2 linked regions of the Tamandua tetradactyla genome follow. The protein of the gene in region 2 purifies or fractionates together with the protein of the main gene of each other region. This does not show direct contact. Links are inferred from orthologs where the notes say so. Each region holds a gene or a part of one and is shown on either strand. Other genes may lie near its edges.

The links.
Region 1: the proteins of tubulin alpha-1C chain (region 2) and TXNDC9 purify together in Homo sapiens (co-immunoprecipitation; 3 studies listed by BioGRID and IntAct, counting the BioPlex papers as one, with this or other methods). This does not show direct contact. The link is inferred for Tamandua tetradactyla from reciprocal best matches to the Homo sapiens genes TUBA1C and TXNDC9.

Annotation. Positions count from the first base shown.
Region 1 is NC_135343.1:4,925,743-4,932,996, forward strand, and holds the start of TXNDC9 (thioredoxin domain-containing protein 9), read right to left. Parts: upstream 3,002-7,254; 5' UTR 2,871-3,001; exon of another isoform or gene 2,853-2,870; intron 2,758-2,852; exon of another isoform or gene 2,646-2,757; intron 2,637-2,645; exon of another isoform or gene 2,330-2,636; intron 838-2,329; 5' UTR 805-837; coding exon 616-804; intron 1-615. Other genes in the region: EIF5B (eukaryotic translation initiation factor 5B), read left to right, coding at 4,010-4,044. UniProt on the Homo sapiens protein: Significantly diminishes the chaperonin TCP1 complex ATPase activity, thus negatively impacts protein folding, including that of actin or tubulin.
Region 2 is NC_135333.1:110,188,805-110,195,664, forward strand, and holds the start of tubulin alpha-1C chain, read left to right. Parts: upstream 1-3,855; 5' UTR 3,856-3,987; coding exon 3,988-3,990; intron 3,991-6,766; coding exon 6,767-6,860. UniProt on the Homo sapiens protein: Tubulin is the major constituent of microtubules, a cylinder consisting of laterally associated linear protofilaments composed of alpha- and beta-tubulin heterodimers.

The DNA of each region.
Region 1 (7,254 bases), on a different chromosome or scaffold from region 2:
TCTTTTAATAATAGGGTAGTATATGGGAACCCCGTATTTTGTGCATATTTTTTCTGTAAGCATACAACTATGAGTCTGTTCTATACACTCTAGGAGAACAACAGGGATAGAGCTGTGGCTATTTTTCTTGGTGCCCAGCATGCATTCCCTTGAATAAAGAGATCACATATAAATGTTACACTGGAAATGTTTGAAATAATTTCTTCAACATGAATTGCCCCATAGCTCTTATCTCATGCACCATTCCTACACTGAAGCTAGCTAAATTATGACAGACATTAGTTCTACCTGAAATGGAAACTGCCGACTCCTAGTGTTCTCAGTGCTCTTCCTGATTTACTCTCTCCTCAACCAAACAAATCTGAGCTCAGAAAATGATCTTGGGTAGGAAACTTCTCTTTCACTCAACTGTGGTTTAATAAATTGACTAGATTAATTTTTGAATGTGTCTTTAGAACTTTTTTCTTTTTTTTAGCAAATTTTTAATAGCAGTAGGTACTTTCAATTCAAAGACCCTAAAAAAGAGGACCGAATTTAACTGCTGCAGCACATGTATATATAATTTTTAGGAGCATACTGTTATAGCAATTTCAGAAAGCAGGGCAGAGAGGTTACTTGTTTTTGCTGTTGAGCTTTCCTTAGTGCTTCAAGTCTCTTTTCTTTGAGGCGTTCCAATTCATCCTCATCCATCTGATCCAGTTTCTGAATTTCAGAATCCAGATGTTCTTCCACTAGTTTGGTAGTCTGAAGCAACTGATTCTCCAGGACTTTTGAAAGCATGCCAACAGATGCATCGCCTTCCATTCTTCTTCTAAATGGTACAATTCAGCCCTGGGGCTGGGAAGATTTACAAAATTAGAAAAAAATAATATAAATACACAAAGTCTTCTCTCCCATTCTCAAAAATTCTAGCAAGCATATATATACTTGTACTGCAGAGTATTCTGCTGACACCCATACACATCAGGTTAAACTTAAGAATTTTAAATTAAAATTTTTAATACGTTACAGTCATATAATCAAAAAACTACTTATAGCAAAATTTAGGATCTTCTGACTTAATTTGTGTTTTGCTATACTAAAGCAAATACAAGGGTGGGCCATGGCAGGTCAGTGGCAGAGTTCTCGTTCCTGGTGCCTACCCATGGCAAAAAAAAAGGCAAATGCTAGTATTCAAGACAATCACCAGACCAGAGAGAAATTAATAGCTGGAATTATAGCTAGTGGTATTTACTGACAATCAGTTTTCCTTACCAAAGGAAAAGGAAAGTAAAGCAGAAATCACTGTGAAATAACATATTTGTACTGAGGTTTACACATTCCCAGGCATACCAATTTGATTCAACACAGCACAGAGTCGAGCAAAATGGAGAGTTTTTTATGGTCTCTACCCAAACGAATTTAGTTTCTTTACCTCCTAGAAGATCTCATTACAATGCGTGTTATTTCCATTTCTATTTTCCCCTTACCTAACACAATCTATGAGGCCGCAAAAACTGATAGAGGTATTGATTTACTGACACTCAGTGTTCTTAACTTTGATGTAAAACAATACAGCACTACAGATATTAAAAAAAACTGATTTTCCATTGTTAGTCCTCTGGGTAAAATAGTAAAAAAATTTGTCTGCTTCCAACAATTAATTCAGATTAGAAAGGAAGATCTCAAATATTTTAAGAGAAATGTTATTTTCTACCAGTAACAATGTTATTTAGTTGAATTCCTGGGCTAACTGCCATGAAGATAGGTTTTACAATTTGCCTATCAAAGCAGGAGTTCGTGCAAACTGATACATTTGTAAACTTGATTGAAGCACCATAAAAAATGTGAATAAACCGAACTCACTCAACCTCTGACAGAGAGCCTGGCCTACAGAGACGCCTTAAATTTTGTTAAACTGAAGAGAAATACTGTCCTTGCAAACTTTACTTGTAATTTTCTTTTTCCTTACAGGAAAAGCAGATGAAAAATACACTTGAATTCATCTCTGTATCCCCAGAGCTACTTGTACAGGGCCTGGAACATAGTAGATGCTCAATAACTATTTAATGTTGAATGGACAAGTGCCTAGCTTCTGCTCAAACTGTCACAAATATCAAGTTAGAAAACCAATTTGAAAGCGTCCCATAAATGCTATAAAATTGAAAAGGAGCTGTTTCAAATACAAGAAAAGAATTCCACTCACACACACACACACACACACACACACACACACACACACACACACTTCCGAAGAAAACCGTCAGTCACACTGCAACGCTGGAGCTGATCTAGATGAGCCAGAAGATTGTATGAAGGCGCTGATTTGCACATCAGAACCTGTTCTTACTCGGGGCATGGCGCACACTCATCCCTGGAGTTTCACAGGATGAGCCCAGAATTTAATTCTGGGATAACTAGGAACAGAGACGATTAACAAGAGCTGTTCTGGAGGCAGGTGGCGGTGGTCGCCGCACTCAGAAAGAGGAGGTCAAAGGAGACGGCGTAGCGGTCGCGTTAACTTCATTCTTCACCAACCTCCGCTTCTTCCCTTTTTTACGCTCAAAAGGAGGAGGGTGGGAAGCAACACCGCGAGTCTTCCAATGACCTAACCATTTCCTTGACTCCCGTGGGTACCTCCAAAACAACAAAGGGGCCTCACTCACAAATGCACGCCAGGCCCCACGGGCCGGACCCAGGCACAGCCCTCAGCACTTCAACTGTGCCCCGGCGCACGCGCCAAAACCTCCGCGGCCGCCCCGATCCCCGCGTCCGGCCGCGCCCCTCCCCCGCGCCGGCCGGATGTTGGACGGTGATGCGTCCGTCAGCGTCGGGACGCGGTGGCGGGTTTCCCACGCCACTCCCCGCCTCACCTGAGCTCTCGGTAATACCTGAGGCGGGACGGAGCAGCCGCTTCGGAAAAGGGTCCCTGCCGGGATTCACCCTCGCACACCGAGGGGGTGGCTGCAAGCCGGCCGGCGCCCCCTCCTCCTCATTGGCTGTAGCCCTCTCGCGATACATCCTGAAACGCCCGAGGCGGCAGAGCGGGCGGAGAGCGCCTTTGCGCATGCGCGCCCTTCCCAGCCTGTTTGCTGCTTTTCGCCTGGGTCCAAGGAAAGGCGTGCTGACGAGGCTGTCTGCTGTGCGCCCCGTAGCCGCCGGGTCCCCAACCCTGAGTGTCCGACCTCACGCCCTGCCCAAGTACTCATTATAGCACTACGTCAGAAATGAGGTAGTCTCGATCTTGCTCAAGAGTGAGCCTCAAAGTTCGTTTCCATTCAGTTTATTGAACAGTGGAGGCATCACTTAGGTGGCGCAATATGACTTGCACCTACATAACCCTGTGGTACAGCAGCCCAGATCGGGTCACGGAACGTTCCTTCGTGACTTCCCTACCACGAGAACTTGCTTTGCATATAAAGATCGAAACCTTTCTCGGGGTAAATTGGTGGGCACGTCCTCGCCTCATGATTTCTTTAGTGACTGCGTATTTCCTAACCAATGGGCATTGGAAGCGGCCCCGATTTTGGGCTGGAATTTCGTATCCCTCGGGAACATCCAGAGCCCATTCTCGGCTCCTTCGAGGAGGGTGAAAGGTGGAAGAGAAGCCCGAAGTCCTCCTCTGAACCGAGTGCTAAATCCCGGTGGCTTTTCCCGAGGAGCGAGGGCTGACGCGGGACTGACAGCCTCATTATCCGGCCCGCGGTTCTAGAACCCGAGGCATCGACGGGCAGGGGGCGCGCGGACTCCCGGCGGTCCGGCGGCCAACTGGAGACGCTCTACCCCGAGCGCCACTCTCGATGAGCCGCGCGCTGCGTCCCCACGCCGAAGCGGCGGGGCGACGCGCATGCGCATTGGGCACTCACACCATATGTGCCCTGTCCCAGTGCGCGGGTCTGTGGAGAGCCGGGTGCGAGGGGCGGCAGCTTCGCGGGGACGAAGCTGAGTGGACACCAGAGTCGGCCGGGGCGCAGTGGGTCCGCGAGAAACCGGATAAAGGGGGCAAGGCCACGAGCGTCGCTGACACGCGATGGGGAAGAAGCAGAAAAACAAGAGTGAAGACAGGTAGCCACTGTCTGGGTCGGTACGGCGGCGGCCCCCGCGGCTGACTGGGACTCGCGAGTCCCGCCGGAGGTGGGGGTGGGGGCTGGGTGCGGGCGTGGGACTCGCGGCGAGACTCTCGTGGGGCGTCGGGCCTGGGCCCAGCGTGGGCGGCGCGGGTCCCGGACGGGCGCGGAGGGCCTCGACGGCGGGCTGGTCTTCCCCGCCCGGTCTCTGCCCCACCTGCCCTCGCCCGGCCTGGGGAGAGGGGTCCCCAGCAGGCGCCGCTTGGCCTTCGGAAAGGGGCAGTCGTTTGGGGGTTCCCAGCCGCGCGGGGAGGGTCTCGGGCGACCGGGCCAACCTGGCTCGGGCGGGCGGGAGTTACTTTTGCGGAGCTGCTTCTGGAAAGGATGTGAGCTCCTTCCTTCTCCACAGCGCGGGCCGGGAAGAATTCTGGTTAAGCCTTTGTACCTGTGAATACTTGGATGGGAAGGGACTCCCAAGCTGTTATATGTGCCTCCGAGTTTTTCGGCACTGTGAGTTGTCAAGAATGTCGGCGTTAGAGAGGCGTTTATCAGCCTACTCTTTCTTAACTTCATCTAATTTGGGTATAGTTATCAATTATCTCAGGGCTGATTGTCCAAACTCCGTGCTTTTCGCTTTCCTTCTTCCGGCCTGTCTTTTGGTCGTTTCTTTGCTCTCTAGCACCTCCCCTAAGAGAGGAGGAGTAGATGAACTAGACCAACCAGGGTCGTTCCTTTCTAACCACATGAAGGCTTTTTTGGAGGAGGGAGTGTAAGGGGAGTACGTAGAATTACTTAACCAGGAGAATCTTAAAACATCTATGTCACATTCGACTGAGTCCTTGAACCCTTTTCTTTGAAAGAGTTTACTTCGTGGGAATGAACAACATCTGGTACTTTTCCCCTTTGTACCCTATCTATCAAACAGTTCAGATACAAGAGGGAGAGAAGGTAAAAGAAAATAATCCCAATAGTTGATCATTCTGACTCAAAATAGATATGTGGCATGAAGCTCAGATAAGTACTAATTATAAGTTGGAGTTCTAGATTGTTTCTTCACTTGGCACTCATCTAGCTAATGAGTGGAATTAAAGACACTAAAGTGAATTTTGTAACTCAGTTATAGATTTATTGGAGAAAATTAATTTGGTTTGGAGAATAGACTTATTGATAATCAAACCTGATGAATAAGAAACAGTAGCCAGAAACACAGTTTCTGTAGTTTTGATGCGGTTTTTTTTTGACGCATAAGATTGTTTTTCCCTTACTGAGAGATATTTTCAAATAAACACACAAAAATGTACATATTACCCAACTTCAAGCATTGTTAGTACATAACCAACCTTGTTTCATATACCTGCTGGGTATTTTGCAGTTCTCAGTATCTTTTCATCTGTAGATTTTTCAGGTGTATCTGAAAGATAAAGTAAAGTTAAAAAAAACATGAAACAAAGTCAGTCTCATCAAGCCTTAGGATTACAAACATGATTTCTTAAATATCGTCAAATATTTATTCAATAATTTCCCACAATTTTGTGTGTGTATGTGTGTGTGTATAAATATATATATATATTATTATTATTTTTGCATGGGCAGGCACTGGGAATTGAACCTGGGTCTCTGGTGTGGCAGGTGAGAACTCTGTGTGTGTATGTATTTTAATTGGTTTGGATCAGGATTACAGAAGTTAGTGGCATAAAAAGTGCATATATGTTATTCTACTTTCCAGAATTTTTTTATTTATTATGCCTTTTCATAGTGGAAAAAAGATGTTATTCTTGTTTGTATATTTTTAGAGAAAAGGTAGTGTTTCTTAATGATTCGTTGGTTTTCATAGGTGGTGTAAATCTTTTTTTAACTTTTTTTTTGTATTAACATATATACAAAGTAAAGAAAGAAAAAGCAGTAGTTTTCAAAGTACTCTTCAACAAGTAGTTACAGGACAGATCACAGAGTTTGTCACGTGCTACCATACCTTCATCTCGGATTTTTGCTTCTAGCTGCTCCAGAACATTGGAGGCTAGAAGGAATAAATACTTTCTTATCATCACAATTGGCTTTTTTTTTTCTTGTTCGTGAAAAATGACATATATACAAAATAGCAATAAATTTCAAAGCACAGAGCAATAATTAGTTGTAGAACACATTTCACAGTTTGGTATGGGTTGCCTTTCCACAATTTTAGGTTTTTACTTTTAACTGTTCTAAGATATTGAAGACTAAAGAAATACCGATATAATGATTCAGCAGTCTGCTCGTTTATTAAACCCTACTTCTCTTTATAACTCCACCATTCCCTTTGATCTTTGTCACTCTTTAGGGATATTTGGGCTATGCCCATTCTACCTTTTTCATGGTGTAAAGTTTTAATTGCAGGCACTGTAGCCGGTATCAAGTGGTTGATTTGATAGTGGAGAAGGAATACTACTTCCCCCTTCATCCGCAGCACACATGCTAATCTCTAGTCTTTATTTTTTTGGCTCATGTTGAAGGGAAAGTAGTGGCAATGTAATTGAAAAACATACATATTTTTTCATATGCCAATATGAAGATTGTATTTTTCTCCCCTCCCTTCCCTTCCCAGAATTCTTTGCTTCCTTTTCCTTTCCAGAATTCTTTGCTTGAGTGGCTTTCAAATTGTATCTAAGAAATTGTAGGATTTTGCAGAGGGGCCCCTTTGACCAGAACGGCTTGGCTTTTTTATTTTGGCACTCTACGGAAAATATTTTGGGGAGATGGGGAGAAAGTTCCACTGTTTTCCAAATCAGTTTGCTTTTACTTCGTGTAGTTAAATGATATTTGTAAAAGAAACAAGAATGCAACATGGAAAACAAGTTTAGAAGGAGAAAGTCCTATTTTAGGATTTATCTTGCTTGCATGAAATGGGATGTTCTATCTGGTTTTACTATCTTTCATGAAGATCCTCACTTTAAAGGTTTTACTGTCATTCTTAGTTGCCTTCTCTCATGTGATCCTATGCCAACTGTTTCTGGTCAGGTTGAACTGTGTGTGAAATGAACGGCTGCTTATTAGTTATCAAGATAAAGCATTGAGGGCGGGCCATGGTGGCTCAGCAGGCAAGAATGCTTGCCTGCCATGCCAGAGGACCTGGGTTCGATTCCCGGTACCTGCCCAGGTAAAGAAAAAAAACAAGAGAGAGATAAAGCTTTGAGCCACATCTCAGTTTTTGGAAAGAAAATAAAGTACTCAG
Region 2 (6,860 bases):
TATTTTTTATCATCACAATCGACTTTTTCTTTTTTTGTGAAAAATAACATAAATACAGAAAAGCAATAAATTCGAAAGCACAGCACAACAATTAATTGTAGAACAGATTTCAGAGTTTGGTATGGATTATAATTTCACAATTTTAGGGTTTTACTTCTAGCTGCTCTAAGATTCCAGAGACTAAAAGAAATACCAATTTAATGATTCAGCAATCATATACATTTGTTAAACCCTACCTTCTCTGTATAACTCCACCATCATCTTTGATCTTTCTACACCACTCTTTAAGGATCTTTAGGCTATAGCCATTCTAACTTTTTCATGTTGGAAGGGTCTGTCACTAATATGGGGTAGAGAGATGGAACTATCTGATGTTCGGGAGAGGCTGGGCTAGGTTTCAGAATTTTTCTGGACCAGGGACCCATCTGGAGGTTGTAGGTATCTGGAAAGTTACTCTAGTGCATGGAATCCTTGTAGAATCTTATATATTGCCCTAGGTGTTCTTTAGGATTGGCTGGAATGGTCCTGGTTGGGGTTTCACAGGTTATGATAGGTAGCAAGGTCTAACTGAAGCTCATGTAAGAGCAACTTCGAAAGTAGCCTCTCGACTCTATTTGAACTCTCTCTGCCACTGATAATTTATTAGTTACACTTCTTTTTCCCTCTACTAGTCAGGATGGAATTGTTGATCCCATGGTGCCAGGGCTGGATTCATCTTTGGGAGTCATCTCCCACGCTGCCAGGAGACTCTCACCCTTGGAAGTCGTGTCCCATGTAGAGTGGTGGGCAGTGATTTCACTTGCAGAGTTGGGCTTAGAGAGAGTGAGGCCACATCTAAGCAACAAAAAGGTCCTGCAGAAGTAACTCTTAGGCATACCTATAAGTAGGTTAAGTTTCTCTGCTGCCTACATAAGCTTCACAAGAGTGAGCCTCAAGATCAAGGGCCTGGCCTTTTCATTTGGATGTCCCTAAAATTTGACACAGTATCAGGTGATTCCCTGATGGTAAAGTTTAATAGTTCCTTATTGTTTCTTCCATCCCTCAAGGGACTTTGCCACAACTTTTTAATTATCTGCTTAATATACTGTAGGATGTATCCAGGCATTACATTAAGCTATATAGGATTAAAGGCCCTCATTCTTATTCTATGCTCCCTGTGTTTCAGTTGTTCAAATGAGCTATCCAGACAGGTTGGATTAGATTATGTACTACAGAAAATTTAGGTTCCAGACAAAATAAACCTTTCTTCCTTTGGTCTCAAAGGGTAGGTGTGGTTCTAAAATACGTCTTCCTTACCCCCGTGTTCTGAATTACCTTAATCCGATTTATGTGGCTTCATTCTCATCTCTAAATATCAGGTTATACAAAATAATCTTTTAAAAAAGTTAGTCAGATCTTGTCACTTTTCTGTTCTGAACCCTACAATGGCTCCCCATGTCAGAGTAAAAGCCACCAGACTTAAGTGTCTTATAAGGAACTAGAGGATCTGGCTCCACATTTCCTCTCTGACCTCTTCTATTTATCTTTTCCATCCAAACTGGCCTTTTGCTCTTCCTTCCAAGAACATTAGACTGGTTCATGCCTAGGGGCAGGGGCCTTTGCTGGAGTTGCTCAGATAGGACCATTCTTCTCCCAGGGAGCCACTTAGCCAACTCCTTATGACCTTCAAGTTCAAATCTCACCTTCTCATTTAGACCATCTTATTTATATTGCAACTTCCTCCACTCCACACACCCCTTGTTATACATTTTTCAATAGCACTCTTTGCCTTCTAACAAATTATACAGTTTACCCATTTATTATGCTCATGCTTTGTCATCTGTCCCTATCTTGCTCTACATATAAGCTCCATGATGCAGAGATCTGTCAGTTCTGTTCATATGTTATCACCAAGCACCTAGAAACTGCTAAATACATATTTGTGGAATGGTCAAAAATTGAACACTACTAATTAAAACTGAAATATTTAGCAAGAGACTAATTTTGGAATATTCTTGCATATAATAGATGCTCAATAAGCATTTGATGAATGAAGGAACTATGTACTGGTAATTTGAAAAGGAATCTTGGCCCATATTTCCAGTGTATGCGTTGTGCTATGAGTTGGAGTGTATCTTGAGTTCTGTTTATTCTGTATCCAAAACCCATTTTTGCTTTCATTTTGCCTTTTCCAAAGCCCTGTACACTTTTATTCTGTATAACAGTCAGTTTTGTTCCCTGAATGTTTCCATTAGCTCCATGGCTCAGAGATGGTTAAGGAATTCTACTAAGAGCCACCTTAACATGATGAAGTTGCAGAGAAAGAAAAACAACTAAAACAAAGTAAAAGATGCTTCTGAAAAATAAACCTCTGGCTGAATGGCCAGAGGATTTATCTGGCATGAGGCACTAAAAACTAGGGTTTAAGGTCCTTTTATCTACCTTGTCAACAGACAAATAGAAATATGAAATAAAAATAAATAATAGGGGGAACAAATGTTAAAATAAATTTAGTTTGAAATGCTAGTGATCAGTGAAGGCGAGGGGTAAGGGGTGTGGTATGTATAATCTTTTTTTTTGTTATTTCTGTTTTCGTTTTATTTCTTTTTCTGAATTGATGCAAATGTTCTAAGAAATGATGCATATGCAACTAAGGGATGATATTGTGAATTACTGATTATATATGTAGAATGGAATGATCACATATTAATGATTTAGTTTGTTTAATTTTTTTAATTAATAAATAAAATTTTTTTAAAAAGTAGGGTTTAAGGGTAGTTACACAGACTTGGGTTCTAACTTCAGCCCCCCCCCACACACACACACACAGTCCACTGTGATTTTCAACTAGTTTAACTCTTCTGAGCCCGCATCTGTAAAGTGCGATTAACTAACAGGAGTTGTGTTATAGAGGAAATGTGATGATGTAATATGAGAGCCAAAAGTAGTTAAGTCAGTGCAGAGCAGGCAATCAATAAATGGAAATTATTCTTATAATGAACTTAAAAAACTTGTTTTTGTACCTTCTGTGAACAAGTTGTTACTCCCTCTTTTGTTTCCATCTCATTTAAAGAGGAGATAGAAAAACGAGTAAAGAAAAGTAACCAAAAAGGTAAGTGAGCATAAAGCCCTCTCATGGCTAATTAAGACCCTGCAACGGGGAACAAGGCCTTCTTTTTCAGAGATCCCTCAAGGCGAGGGGGGCCAGCGCCGGCGGCGGCCGGGCAGCACCCAGTCTCACCCGGGAGGATCCAGCAGCCTCGCGGTGAGCGCCGGCGCGCAGCCTGGCCTTATACGGAGTTGTGCGGCGGTGCCTAATTGGGAGCCACGCGGAGCGCCCTCCAAGGGGTCCCGAGCCCGCGGGGGCGTGTGAGGGGTCTCCCCTCCCGGGTCTCCGGCCGCGGCTTCCTTTTTTTTGCCTGTACAAGCACCGGGAATCGAACCCCGGTGTACCGCATGGCAGGCAAGAGCTCCGCCGCTGAGCCACGGTGGCCCGCTCCTCCGCCGCTCTCTTTATCCGACTTTTCACCTCTCCTAGCCTTTGCCTACCTGACGCTTCCCACACCCAGTGAGGACCGTGTAGACGCTTCACCTCCTTTCAGTCACCGTCTCCTGCCCCTTCTCTACCCCACCCAACCCATTCTTTTGCAGGATTTCTCCTCCCCTCCTAGTGCTCCTGGCTCCTTCCGAATATTTGGGTTTGAACTTTTAAACCCACCAATCAGCACCGCGCGCCCCTCCCCTCCCCGCGGGCTGTCGGGGGGCCGACCAGCCCAGGGCCGCGTAGCAGGGAGGCGGGACGGCGGGACGGCGGGACGGCGGGGGCCCGGGGCGGAGTCCAGTGCCCGCCCTCGCGACACGTGGCCCAGGAAGGGCTATAAAAGGCCCCTGCGAGCCGGCCGTCCTCTCACTACTTCTCCCCCGGACTCCTTGGTAGTCTCATAGCGGGAGATTCTTGTCGCCATCCTCCCGCCTCTTCAGCGTCGCTTGGCCCTACAAGTCCCTGTCATGGTGAGTGGGGTCCCGGGGCCTCCCAAAGGTGCGGCAGGAGCCTCGCCTGTGCGGACTCTGGGGGAAGAGTGCGTAGGCGGAAGGAGCTACACGTGGGGCCGCGCCCGGGGAGTCTCCCGGAGACCCCGGGAGTCTGGCTAAGGGAGCCGGGACTGGGAAAGCCGGAAGGGGCGGCCGGGACCCAGCCCTCGGGGGAAGTAGGAAGTCCTCTTGATCCTAGTGAGAGGTAGCCCCACAGGGTCTGTCACCGCCCAAGGAGAGCGAGAGAATCCTCTTGTTGGCCCCCCAAATTAGAGAGAATTTAAAACACCCTTCCCCCAATTTCCCCACATGACCTCACCTACCTTATACGCTGGTCCCTGGAGGGTGAACGGGCTGATGATCGCCAGGCCTTGTGTGCTCCTTCATGGAAGGCTCAGACACTCCCTGGCGCCCCTTTTCCAGCGTCCTGTGACTCGCTGCTGAGTCACCTGTGGCCTGGCCCTGGGCAGAACTTCCAGTTGCAGCATTCCCACCTGAGGGATGGAGGCGGGCCCGTCCTTTGAAGGGAATAATTAACTGTCTTATTGTCTAATCCCCATTTCTAATGCTAACTCCATGGGATATGAGGAACTGAAACTTTCTACTTAAGGGAGATTTTAAAAGTCCACAGGAATGATTTAAAAAAAAAAAAAAACCCAGAGAAAAATCGCTGATGATGTATTCTTATTTCAGTTTTCAGGAAACATAAGATTATATACAATTTGAGAATTTTCCATCTACCTTCCAGAGGTATTGGGACCAGCTATCTTATTCTATTGGAGGCCTAAATAAGAATAAGCCACGTTTTAAACAAGGATTGGTGTATCAGATGTTTAAAAAGTATCTTTAAACGGGGAGTACAGTATCTTTAAAAGTGGGGTGGGGATACAGCAAATAACCTTTTCAGAGACTACCACTGAAGTACTATTAAAAGTATGAATTACTGTAACAACTTGCTTCAGTGCCTTTTATCAAGAGCAAAAACTGGTGAAAGTCTGATTCAAAAAGTAGTGGAATTTGTACTAAAGGTCAGGAGAGCAACAACAACAGATCTTTTTAGGCAACCCTGGCTGAATTAATGGATTTTATGAGACAGTGGTTGCTTATCCAGTTAAAATTACACTAAGTGAATCTGTCACCTGTGTCTCACACCTCCCAAGTGGCCAGGGGACAGTGGAGGGCAAGTAGTGGCCACTAACTTTGCCTGCTACACTTTAAGAAAGGAAAGTTTTTGGACTCAGAAATTTTCAGTAGAAGAACAGCTTCTTTAGAATGAGAAACTCTTGGCCGCTTTTATCTCCTTGGGCCTGGGTACCATCGTGGATGGATCTGTGGTTCTCTCCAGCTTTCAGGGGCTGTGGAATTTCCAAAGTCCAGTTAAAGGTAAACATGATGCAGTGGTAAACAGTCATGGATTCATTAGAACAAACAGCTTTTACTCCCACAGCCCTAGAGCTGGGCAAGTAGACACAGGTAGTTCTGAGCTTGCTGATGTGGTCAGGAGACTGTGATTATTTTATGGGAAGCAGGTGGGAAGGAGACTGTGATTATTTTATGGGAAGCAGATGGGAAGGAGTGATCGTAAGTCAAAGGTTGATGATTCAGGGTTTTATTGCTCAAGTTATGAAATTAGACTCTTTGAGAACTTAACTGATACTTAATTTTCGTTAACTAATTTCCTATTAGCAGTTTTTAAAAACTTGAAACCCTACTACTTAGGGGGAAAAGTAATGAGAGATTTACTGTGTGGGTATTTTGAAAGTTCTCTGCTAATCTCCAGATTAGCTAATCTGATTTATGAGAAAATACAATAAATATCCTTTTTTTTGTTTTTCTGTTAAGTCTGTGAGTACTGATTCTATGTTCATTACCTTATTTTACTAAGCAGAAAAGAGTTTGGTAACTTCTAAATGACCATGTTGAGCAATTAAAGCAAAACAAACATTTCTCCAAAATCTCAAATTCTTTAATCATAGGCTTTTTTTTTAACCATAGTACCAGGGATGTGTACATTTTCCTACGAAACAGTAAATATTTTTAAATAGCAATGAAGTCTTGGCAACACTTCTAGTCTTTATTAACAATGTGCTTTACCCCCTCCATGATTTGTTGATGTGAAGGAAAAATGTTCTTAAAAATTAAATTATTCCACAGGTTTAAAAAACTGCATCTCACCACAGCTTTTAAAATACAGCTAACTGTTGCTTATCTAGCACTTTCTCCGTGAGTCATATGGCTGTAGTTTGCTGGGTTAAACTGATTTTAAAGGGGAGAGAGAAAGAGGTCTTGCCTCTTAAAGAATAGGATTCAAGAAGGACCAGAATGAGCTCAGAAGTTGCACAATCACATAGAGAATGAATCAGACCTGAAAGGGGGAATTTTATTTAAGGAAACAGCAAGCATATTTCCCAAGAGCTACGGGGAATATATTGCTGTGGAGCAGTTTATGTCATTCCAAAATGGTAGAAACCTGACTTTGAATATCTAATGTGACTAGAAAACAAGGGTCTTGCCTTCCCTGGTTCATTAACATAGCTTTGGTTTTCAAAGCGTTTTTTTTTTTTAATTAGATCTTCAACAAAAACTGATGCTTGTAACATAGTCCATGTTCTGGCGTGGCCTCTAGAAAAGTGGCAGTCTGTCCTGAAGGCTAATTAGTCATTTAGGTGACTAATTAGTCATCTGGGTGAATCATTTCCCAGTGTGCCATCTGATGTGCCATATTCTGACATTTTTTTTATCTTCCTTTGCACAGCGTGAGTGCATCTCCATCCATGTCGGCCAGGCTGGTGTCCAGATTGGCAATGCCTGCTGGGAGCTCTACTGCCTGGAACACGGCATCCAGCCCG